Yarrowia lipolytica: one gene and its partner. The protein of the gene in region 2 interacts with the protein of the main gene of each other region in a biochemical or structural test. Links are inferred from orthologs where the notes say so. Each region holds a gene or a part of one and is shown on either strand. Other genes may lie near its edges.

Evidence for each region.
Region 1: the proteins of YALI1_B18645g (region 2) and YALI1_D02546g interact in a test that uses a peptide from one of them, tested with the Saccharomyces cerevisiae proteins (2 studies listed by BioGRID). The link is inferred for Yarrowia lipolytica from reciprocal best matches to the Saccharomyces cerevisiae genes ABP1 and APP1.

The regions. Positions count from the first base shown.
Region 1 is NC_090773.1:251,614-256,744, forward strand, and holds YALI1_D02546g (uncharacterized protein), read right to left. Parts: upstream 2,991-5,131; coding exon 603-2,990; downstream 1-602. Other genes in the region: YALI1_D02563g (uncharacterized protein), read left to right, coding at 4,708-5,131. UniProt on the Saccharomyces cerevisiae protein: Mg(2+)-dependent phosphatidate (PA) phosphatase which catalyzes the dephosphorylation of PA to yield diacylglycerol. May play a role in vesicular trafficking through its PAP activity at cortical actin patches.
Region 2 is NC_090771.1:1,862,746-1,867,676, forward strand, and holds YALI1_B18645g (uncharacterized protein), read left to right. Parts: upstream 1-1,849; coding exon 1,850-4,246; downstream 4,247-4,931. Other genes in the region: YALI1_B18631g (uncharacterized protein), read right to left, coding at 1-419; YALI1_B18687g (uncharacterized protein), read right to left, coding at 4,546-4,931. UniProt on the Saccharomyces cerevisiae protein: Regulates ARP2/3 complex-mediated actin assembly. Recruits ARP2/3 complex to sides of preexisting actin filaments, which may promote nucleation or stabilization of filament branches. Binds to actin filaments, but not actin monomers.

The DNA of each region.
Region 1 (5,131 bases), on a different chromosome or scaffold from region 2:
GTGGATAGAAGTACTAAACTGGGTAAATACACCGCGGCTTATTGATTGAGACAAAAATTCCGAGACTAATGTCTTTTGGTATAATCCCATCTGTTCTTATTGTGCCCAGGAAGAGCTGATTGTGGAGTCGTTTTTGTAGGTCACGACTCACACAGCCCCGCTGCATATAGCCGTGTATTCGATAGCCGCCGAGGTTGAAGAATGACCAGAAACACTCGAGAGTTGACGTTCAATGGATGACAACCTCTCGCCCATAGAAATAGTTTGTTATCCTCATGCCTAGTTCGTTCCTCTCCGGCCTTGGTTGTACTACTCTCTCGGACCTGAACTTCACCAGTATCTCTGAGGTTTATAGAACAAACCAATCGATCAGAGACAGTATAGAGAGATACGCTGAACTGTCAATGTCACGCAGTATATCACTACATACTGTACACTCCTACAACACAGCAAATCCTACTTGAAAAATTAACAAGGTAAAATCTAATCAAATAATTTAAAATGCTACCGTTTCCAGAAAGGCTCGTTGTTCCTACTGTACTTCAGTCTAGAGCCGCTCTAGATCACGACTCGCTTCAGCTCTGGGTGAGCTTTTTACATGACTATAACAGCTCCTTAATAGGTTCCTTTTCCACCGTCTTTGCCAGCTCCAGTGTCTCCCCTTCGACCTTTGGAGGCTCCTTCCATAGTCTCAATCTGACATTAGCAGGTAACTCCCTTCGCGCTCGTCTCACCCGCTCCTTCCACTTGAACTGCCGATCATTGTCAGAGTACAGTCTAGGTGTCTCATCCGTCTCCTGAGATGCTGCCACGTTCATAGATCCACTGGTGACCTGATCAGAAATGCTTCTCATAGTCTCAGGCTGAATCTTGCGTCTCGGAGGCAGAGGGGGGGCTCCATAGGCCGCTGTAGCAGCGATGGCAGCATTGGACGCAGCGGAGTCCGGTTTTCCAGTGTGTTCTCGGTCGACGTTCTCATCGGTCTTCTTTCCAGCAAGACCAACGGGCTTTCTAGGAACAGGAGGAGGCACTTTCTTGCCGATAGGAGAGTCCATGAGGTTTACAGGCTGAACAGGCTTGCGCGCCACTTTCATTGGTCGTTCTCGTTCATCAGCCTCCTTTTTGAGAGCAGCAATTTCGACTCTAAGAAAGTCGTAGTCCAGTTCTCGGTCAGACGTAATGTCTCGAATATAGATGCCGAGAATCTGTTGGGGATAGACCTTGGCAAGTTCCACGTAGGCCTCCAGATCACCCTCTCCGGAGTCTCCAACGAGAATGAAGCGTCGCTGGGGGAAGTCTCGCAGAATCTGCTCCAAATTAAACTTCTTTCGTTCAGCAGGGGCTTCAAAAAGCTGAGACAAGACTCCAGCGTAGTCTTTCAGATGAATGGATCCTCTAGGGAAGCCGTGCATGTGCAAATACTCCTTGATGACCGGGTACAGCTGCCAGGGTGAATTCGAGACGTAATGGGTCTGAACACCCAGTCCTGACAACTTGTTGTACCACTCCACCACTCCAGGGATACTCAGGCCGTCCAGATCCTTCACAAACACGTTCTTGATCATGGCCTTTTTGTCTCCAGTCACTCCAGTGTGTTTGATGGTGTCATCAATATCGGAAATCAGAGACACTCCCTCATATGACACATCGATGAGATCCTGCTGGACCGAATAGGGTGTGTTTCTGACATGGATTTTCATGATTGTTGGCTTGAAATCGAGCCGCAAAGCAGTTCCAAACTTACCCGAAGTGTGGGAATGCAGAGTCGTCGACGTGGCGTGCTCATTGTCGTCTATAATGGTGACATCGAGGACGGCGTTGACGAGCGGCTGAGCCACAAATGGCGCAAACCGCTCCTTCATGATTGTGTCTTCCAGGGAAGAGTCAGCGGGGAGTGATTGAGAACTGGCAGTGGAGTCCAGCGAGATGCTGCTGGCAATAGTGGTTGTTCTGCTGGAATAGATGCGACTAGCAGGGGGAGGGGGGACTCGTCTTCTACCGGCAGTAGGGGAATCACGCGAGGGAGATTCATATCCATCCCTCACGGATGAAGCACGTGAAGAAGTAGTCGATCTAGACGAAACCGACTCAGATCCGTCCAAATCAATCAAATCCGGGGTACTGGCACTCTGTGCTCCATTTCTGAACCCCCTAGTACTCATTCGGCCCTGTCTCTCCTTCTCAATTTCTTCCAATGCGGCAATATCTCGTTCCAGTTTTTCCTCGGAGTTGCCACTGAGATACGATCTGACCATGTTCAGAATAAACCGGTTCTTTCGCGACGTCCATTCTCCAGGCACAGAGATGGTTCCCTTAATATCCACCTCATGGGTTCCATCAGGAAGCATTCGAGAGTAGGTGGGGTAAGCTGTGATTGTGGGTGCCAGGTTCGTCTCCGACAGATCCAACGGCTCGTTGTTCTGGGTCAATTTCTCAGCCACAAACGTTTCTGACTTGGTCTTGATGGACTGCCAGATTTTGCGCGTGTTGTATCCACTCATTCTCAGCCAGTGCTTGAAGTAGTATGGTTTTCGGGTCGCTCTGTAGTAGTACAGCAATCGGGCAATGTCTCGTCCCTTGGGCTGACCGGCCTTGTGTCGTTTCTTGCGCTCTTCGCGTTTCAGGCGCCGTTCCAACCGCTGCTGTTTGCTCCAGCGGGTGAAGATGGACTTGAAAAACCGGTAGACAAACGAGTGGCGTTTCTTGACAATGTAGGGGGCCGGAGGGGGCTGAGAGGCTGGTGTTAGAGCAGTGACGACGTTTTTCGACGGCTTCAAGCTCCGTTTGTGTTCGAACCGGAGCGCTCCTTTGGGTCTGGGGGACGCGACTACTGTGGTGGGCTTGCGTGCGGTGGTGGCAGTAACTTCTTTTTTAGCCGATAAAAAGGCGTTCTGGAGGGTCGGCGAAAAGTGTCTTTGGTGGACGAGTAACGGGCGACTGAGCGGGGCACGTGACGCGAGAGACAGCCGCGTGGATCGCGCCAAAAACATGATACCGGTGCAGCGAATCGATCGATCACAAGTTCGGTTATCCAGACACACTACAAGTACACTTCACTTTCGGACAAGACAACAAGAGACCAGTCCAAAAAGTATAATCCACGTGTGGTGTATGTATGGATGAGATGGGAGATGGCAAGTAGAGGTCACAAGAGAGGGTCAGAAGAGCAGAGACCAAAGAGGAAAAGGGTCGTGTGGTGTCTCGCACATGATATACGACTCGAAAGCTTTTTTTCTTTCTCTTTCTTCGCGGCGGTTTACCCCAGTAGCGTCTCTTTGGGGGATGCTGCTATGTATCACTTGCTATTGTGCTGCCTCACTTGTATGCAGGTTGCACGGAGACACACACAGGTGGACTTTTTGGGGGTAATCTATAGAGATGTATTACATACATACAACTGCAGAAATTTATATCACGTGTCCAACAACGTATCCCCACTATCCGGCTTACTAAACATCCCGTTTAGACTCCTCCTACAGCACTACTTGTAGTACATACGAGTACTTGTACTCTCAAACAACCGTTAACAAGCTCATCTCGCACAAGCAAACTTTATTGGAAAAGGGCAGAGCAACGCAACACAGCAACAAGACGCCCAAATGGAAGTTTTAATGAGAGAAAAGGGTCGCGAACACTTGTAAATCGACATAACGTGTCCTGTCATTCCCTCTTGGGTGTGTGTGTATGCTGTATAGTCATGTTGGGTTTATCCGTTTGGCGCCTCCGGCTCGATAACGAAAGCTTAAGCAGTCGAGTGTTCTAAATTCAGTTTTGCTCTTAACCTGAACAAGACAAATTCAGAGCCGCATAGATATGGAGGTTTGTTTTGGGCACTGATCAGGTGATATATTACTTGGATATTGTATTTTATGGTATCTATGTGATCGGGGAAGCTGACAGATTAGGACTATTATAAAATATGAGTTACATTTTGCAGTAAACACGAGAGGTGGTTGTTCTCAAGACACTATGAAAAGTTATCTAATTTTTTTTTTGTAACTGTCTCGAAGTCAACAAATCAAAGTAATTTTGTTTGCAATCCAAGTAAGATTTGTGACGAAACTTTGGGGGACGAAATCGTTCCAGAAAAGAAAAAAAAAAGACTTTTCAGAAGCCTATTGTAAGTATCTGTGTAAGATTCAATTACGGTGTCCCCCTACGGTGTAATATAACCCCCCCTAGAACCAAACTGCCCACTCATTGTTGGGTCTCTACGCATATTCTAAACCCCATGAAGCAGCTACCATGTACACAAGTGCGCCATGTATCTCACGCCACAATTACGTAATAACAAAAATACACACACAATTGTCACCCTCCTCGAGGTCCACAGATTGATTCCCCGCTATATATATATATATATATATATATATATATCCTAATAACCCCACTGTGTAGTCCCCAAACCCCCCATCCCAGATTCCCTCGCCACCGAATCCCACAACCCTATCGAGCTTAAACCTCCGCTTACCAAAGCTGTCGTTAAAGGAGATGGAGGTATATGTAGCAAGTAGGGAGATGAGAGAACTCGGGATAACGGGGATGGTTTTGTCACGTGATGTGTCACGTGGACACGGTATTTTCTCTGTTATATGTCACGTGCATTTCCAGCAACTTCTCCTTCACACCGCAAATACCTCACACGTGCAAAATGTCTATAGAATGATAACTCTAACCTGACATCATCACCACAACACACACCACACCATGGGAATCCGACTGCGTAAAAAGAACCTGGCTGCGCTGCTGGTCGCGGCCTCGTTCATGCTGGTCATCACATGGCTGTTTCTAGCCACGTCCTGGCACGCTCTACGACACGATCCAGCGGCTGCTCTGATGCATTCCTTCGGGTCCAAGATCAGACCTCTACGATACATTGTTCTGGGCGACTCGTGGTCAGATGATGGTTCTCGCCACGTGTTCCGAACAAACGAGGGAGCCATGGACGACACAAAGCCTGCTGTCAACGACGATCAGCGGTACTGGGTGCAAAAGTCGCCTCAGGGAGGACCCAAGAAGGTGGCCATGAGCTGCCGAGGACTGGGAGGGCGATGTTCGGATGGTATTCTGTGGTCCGAGTACGTTTGTGACTCGTTGGTGAGCTGCAAGCACCACGATAACTTTGCTTACA
Region 2 (4,931 bases):
TCGAAGCAATTGTTACACTTTCTGTTGGTTCTGGACTCTTGCCGAGTAGCAGCTTCTTTGACAAAAGAAGTGAACTCGGACGAGTGTACGATATCCTCCAGAGAAGGATCGACATCGAGAATGTACTTGAGGCCCTTGGAGAAATCTGATTCGTAAATTTCGTCCCAGTGACTGTTGTCTTTGGTTACAGGATCTAGCTTGGGTATCAGCTTGATAGACTCAGCCAGGGAAATCTTAGGGGCTGGAGCCAAGGGAGTAGTAGGGATCTCAAGCTTGGTTTTCTGTCTTTTGGGAGTACTGGGAGTCACCACAGGCGCTGTTGTTTCAGGTTCAGCCAGACTTCGCTTGGTTCGCGTTCTTGTTGTCGCAACCATCACCAGTTTGTGGATCGAAGGACGGCGGAAGATGTTCATGCGCATGACATCTGTGAAGGAGGGGTTAGGGATTGTGGGTCGTTATTAAAGTGGAGAGAGAAATGTTGCTGTCAGCAAGATGTATTTTCAGTGGAATGAACGACGTTTTGTATGAGAATCAGATACAAATTGCACTCATCTCTCAAATACTTTCTTGTCCTTGAAAGAGTCAAATGTAAACGTGTTTTCAATTGACAATAATACGTACATACTGTACTCTTACCACACCCACTTTAAATGCAATGCCATTGTTGCGATAAAGCTGAGTTTATCGATGAGATATTGTAATACATTGGGTAAACTACTGCACGAGTACGAGTACTGTACATACTGTAGGGATTGTGTAGCATTTTCTCTTCTGGCCAATAGGATGACACGGCCATGATGGCTATCGCTAGAAAAACAAGATTTTGGCTTATATATAGTCAATCACTCACATTTTGAGAACATCCCTCACACTCAGTTTATCCCTCATTTTACTTGACAGCTTAAACCACTCAAGTGGAGACAGATATCAGCCGTATGGCTTAGCTACAGTAGAGACTACAATTAGTTCCAAATTGAATAGAGACCGTGCGAGATTCAAATTTCATCGTGACTAGACCGCATGACTCACACTTTTCATTATCTGTTGCGCATTGACCATAAGTACTTGAACGTCGTACATATCGCCTACAGCATCTATTTCCAACTCATGGTTTGATCATACGTCATACATGTGTGCTGCGTGGATGGTGTTGCGGATAAAAGCCCGCGTAAATTGACCTCCTGGGGGCTGTGTACACTGACCTTTGGGGATACAAAGAGTGGCTAGCAATACTAGTTATAGAAAAGAGCGACTCAATAAAGCTGCTTAAATCCGATCCCAATTGGGTGGTTCATTCGCTTGAAAGAGCTTGAAAGTCCATCCGGAGATAGCAACAGACAAAAATCCGGTTTATGCAGAACAGCCAGACGTACAACAACAAGTACAATGAAAAAGAGGACAGCAAGGACATGTTGTCACAATTCACAGTCTGGCACTTGCTATTTATCTTGTCAGTCACTGCAAATCAAGTAAAGGGTCGTGAGACGGCATCTAGGCTACGTCTGGCTTATTGTAACTACCAGTACGAGGTGTAGTGCTGAGACATAGACAATACAACTCTGTACAGGTAGAGAGCAGCCTTCATGCGGGGTAGGGGAGGCATACAAGAGAAGAATGATACCCCCAACCACAAACAATTGTCCATTACAAACACATTCTCATCCTTACTTTTTTTCATATCACCCCTCTATCACCCATTCGAACCGCTCCACCATCCGATTGCTCCGAGCTTTAAACTCCACATCACAGTGCATGGTTGGTCTATAACTCTCAATTAGCTCACCACTTGTACATAGTCTCTCCACACACACACTCTTACACACCCAATTACCGCAACACACGTTTCAACATGTCTCTCGACCTAGCTACCAACGGCCAGCAGATCAAGGACGTGTACGGCGCCATTGTCAGCAATGACCCCGAGTTCCCCTGGGCAATCTTTGGTTATGCCACCTCTCCCACAGCGTCCTCGGCCACCATCAAGGTCGCAGCCATCCCTGAGTCTGACACTTCCACTCTGGCCGATTTCCTCGACGAGTTCGAGGAGGGCAAGCTGCAATACGGCCTGGTCCGAGTCCCCGACCCTCACTCGAAGCTACCCAAGATTGTCTACGTGGGCTGGTGTCCTGAGGGAGTCCCCGACCCTCGAGCCAAGGGTGTCTTCAACCCCCATCTCCATGCCCTTGGAAATCTCTTCCACGGCTACCACGTCCAGGTGACTGCCCGAGACCGAGACGATCTCACTGAGGATGTGATCCTGGAGCGGCTGGAGCGAGCCTCTGGTGCCAAGTACGGAGCCACCTCATCCAGAAAGCCCGGAATCTCGTCGGCCATCAAGACCAAGCCCACCTACACAACGCAAAAGTCTGGAGCCGATGAGGAGGACTGGGGAGACGCCCCTGCAGTGGAAACCAAGCCCGTCTCCAAGCCCACACCTGTTGAGTCGTCCTACAAGCCCGTCAAGGTTGACCTGGCCGAGATCCGAAAGAAGGGAGGACCCTCGACCTTCACGTCCGAGGGACGAGACGCCGACTCAGATCGAGGCATTGTCGGTGGCTCCTACAAGCCCGTCGGTAAAATTGACATTGCAGCCATCCGAGCCCAGGGCAAGGGACACAAGGAGTCCTTTGAAAACACCCCCATCAAGACGGACCTCGACAAGCCCAAGCCCAAGGCCACTCCTAAGCCTACCTCTAAGCCTGCCCCTGTCGCCGATGTTGAGGATGAGGACAACCAGAACGGGGACGAGGACGGCGAGCCTATGTCTCTCAAAGACAGAATGAAGGCCTTCCAGAAGCCCTCCAAGTCTTCTTCTACTCCCACTCCCTCCAAGAAGCCCCCTACCACCATTGGTGGAGACGACGACGATGAGGAGGATGAGACCCCCAAGTCTGTTAAGGACCGACTCAACGCTTTCTCCGGGTCTGGACGGCTCACCGAGATGCCCAAGCCCAAGATCGACAAATCTGCTATCCAGTCTCGATTCACACCCGCTGCCTCTCGAGGAACCAAGCCTCTGGCCCCCGCCGGTGATCTGTCGTCTCAGTATGGTCTCAAGACCTCAATTGTGTCTGGTGGATCCCGAGATTTTGCCTCTGAGAACGGTAAGACTCCCGGTCAGATCTGGGCTGAAAAGCATGGAAAGACTCCCCAGCCTGACGTGGCCGTGCCTTCGTCTACCTCCAACGTCTCTTCTGCATCCGACAAGTTCTCCAAGCTGTCTGTGAACGACGATGATGAGGAGGACAAGAAGACTCCTGCTTCTTTCGGTGGTGATGACGACGAAGATGACGAGCCCCACGCATCGGTTTCCGCTCTTCGAGGTGCCTTCAATAAGCCGGCCGTGCATGACGAGCCCAAGAAGTCCACCCCCGCCCCTGCTTCTCGAACCATTCCTCCTCCCCCTCCTTCCGCCTCTCGAGTAAACGACGACGACGATGATGAGGACGAGGACGATGCTCCCGCTGTCTCTGTCTCTGCTCTCCGAGGCGCCTTCAACAAGCCCGCTGCTGCCGACGAAGATGATGCTCCCCCTCCTCCTGCTCGAACAGTGCCCCCGCCTCCTCCCTCTGCATCTCGACCCCCCGCTGATGAGGATGACGACGATGAGGACGAGCACAACAGCTTCTCCAAGGGCGCCTCTGCTCTTCAGGCCGCCTTCTCTGCTGGTGCTGGTACCGGAGGACCTCCTCCTCCTCCTGCTCGAGGAGCTGCCAAAGATGAGGAAGAAGATGATGCTCCTCCCCCCATGCCTGCTCGACACGCCCCTCCTCCCGCCAACGACGATGATGCCCCCCCTCCTATGCCTGCTCGACATGTTGCTAACGACGCTCCTCCTCCTCCCATGCCATCTCGACCTGCTGCCGATGAGCCTCCTGCTCCCGCCCTGCCTTCTCGAGGCGGTGCTGCTGCTGCCACTCCTGCTGCTGTTGTCTCCAGCAAGCCCTCTGCCACCGTGGAGTACGATTACACTAAGGATGAGGAGGGTGAGATCGATCTCGTGGAGGACGAGATCGTCACCGACATTGAGTTCCTGGACGAGAACTGGTGGAGCGGAACCAACTCCAAGGGTGAGTCCGGTCTGTTCCCCTCCAACTATGTCAGGCTTAAGGATGGTGCTGTGCCCACCATTCCCGATCCTGCCGCGGGCTGCCGGGCGCTGCTGCCGGCGCTGCTGCCGGAGCTGGCACTGGCCCCTCTGCCATCGCCCTGTACGACTACGACGCTGCTGAGGACAATGAACTGAGCTTCGCGGCGGACGATATCATCACAGATATTGAATTCATCGACGAGGACTGGTGGACCGGATCGCTCAACGGCAAGCGAAACCTCTTCCCTTCCAACTTTGTTGAGCTCCAGGATTAGCCTAATCGTTCTATGATGTATAAATAATTATGACTTGATGGATTGAACTGATTGTAGATTACTGTGTGAATAGTCGTAGTGCTGTGTTTTGTAAACTTCTATTATAAATTACCACGTCATACTGTGTGTCTATAAGTTAGCATGCCCGTCTGGCTTCCGCGAGCAACAAGATTGTTGTGTTCAAATCTTGGATCTAATAATCTCGCTGAAGAGACGCAGGGTAGCTGCACCCTGTCCCTGTTGAGTAAGCCCTCGTCGAGCAACAATGGCAGCATGAGAATGGATCACGGTAATGTACACGGCGTACTTTTCCCAGCCTAGCTTGTCCATGTTCTCAATCATGCTGAGTACGTCCTCGGAGAAAGGCGCGTTGTTCGCCCAGTTGGCCAGCAATCCTCGGTCTCCTGTGTGTCTAGCCGCCTCCATAGCTTCACCCAGACCGACCACCTTGGTTTCCGACAAAGCAGGCGTGTCGGTGTTGTTAAGATCATCACCTAGAATGACGTCTTCGACGGCAGCTTCAGTGATTCCAGCAGCCATGACATCAGCCTCTTCCTCAACCTTGG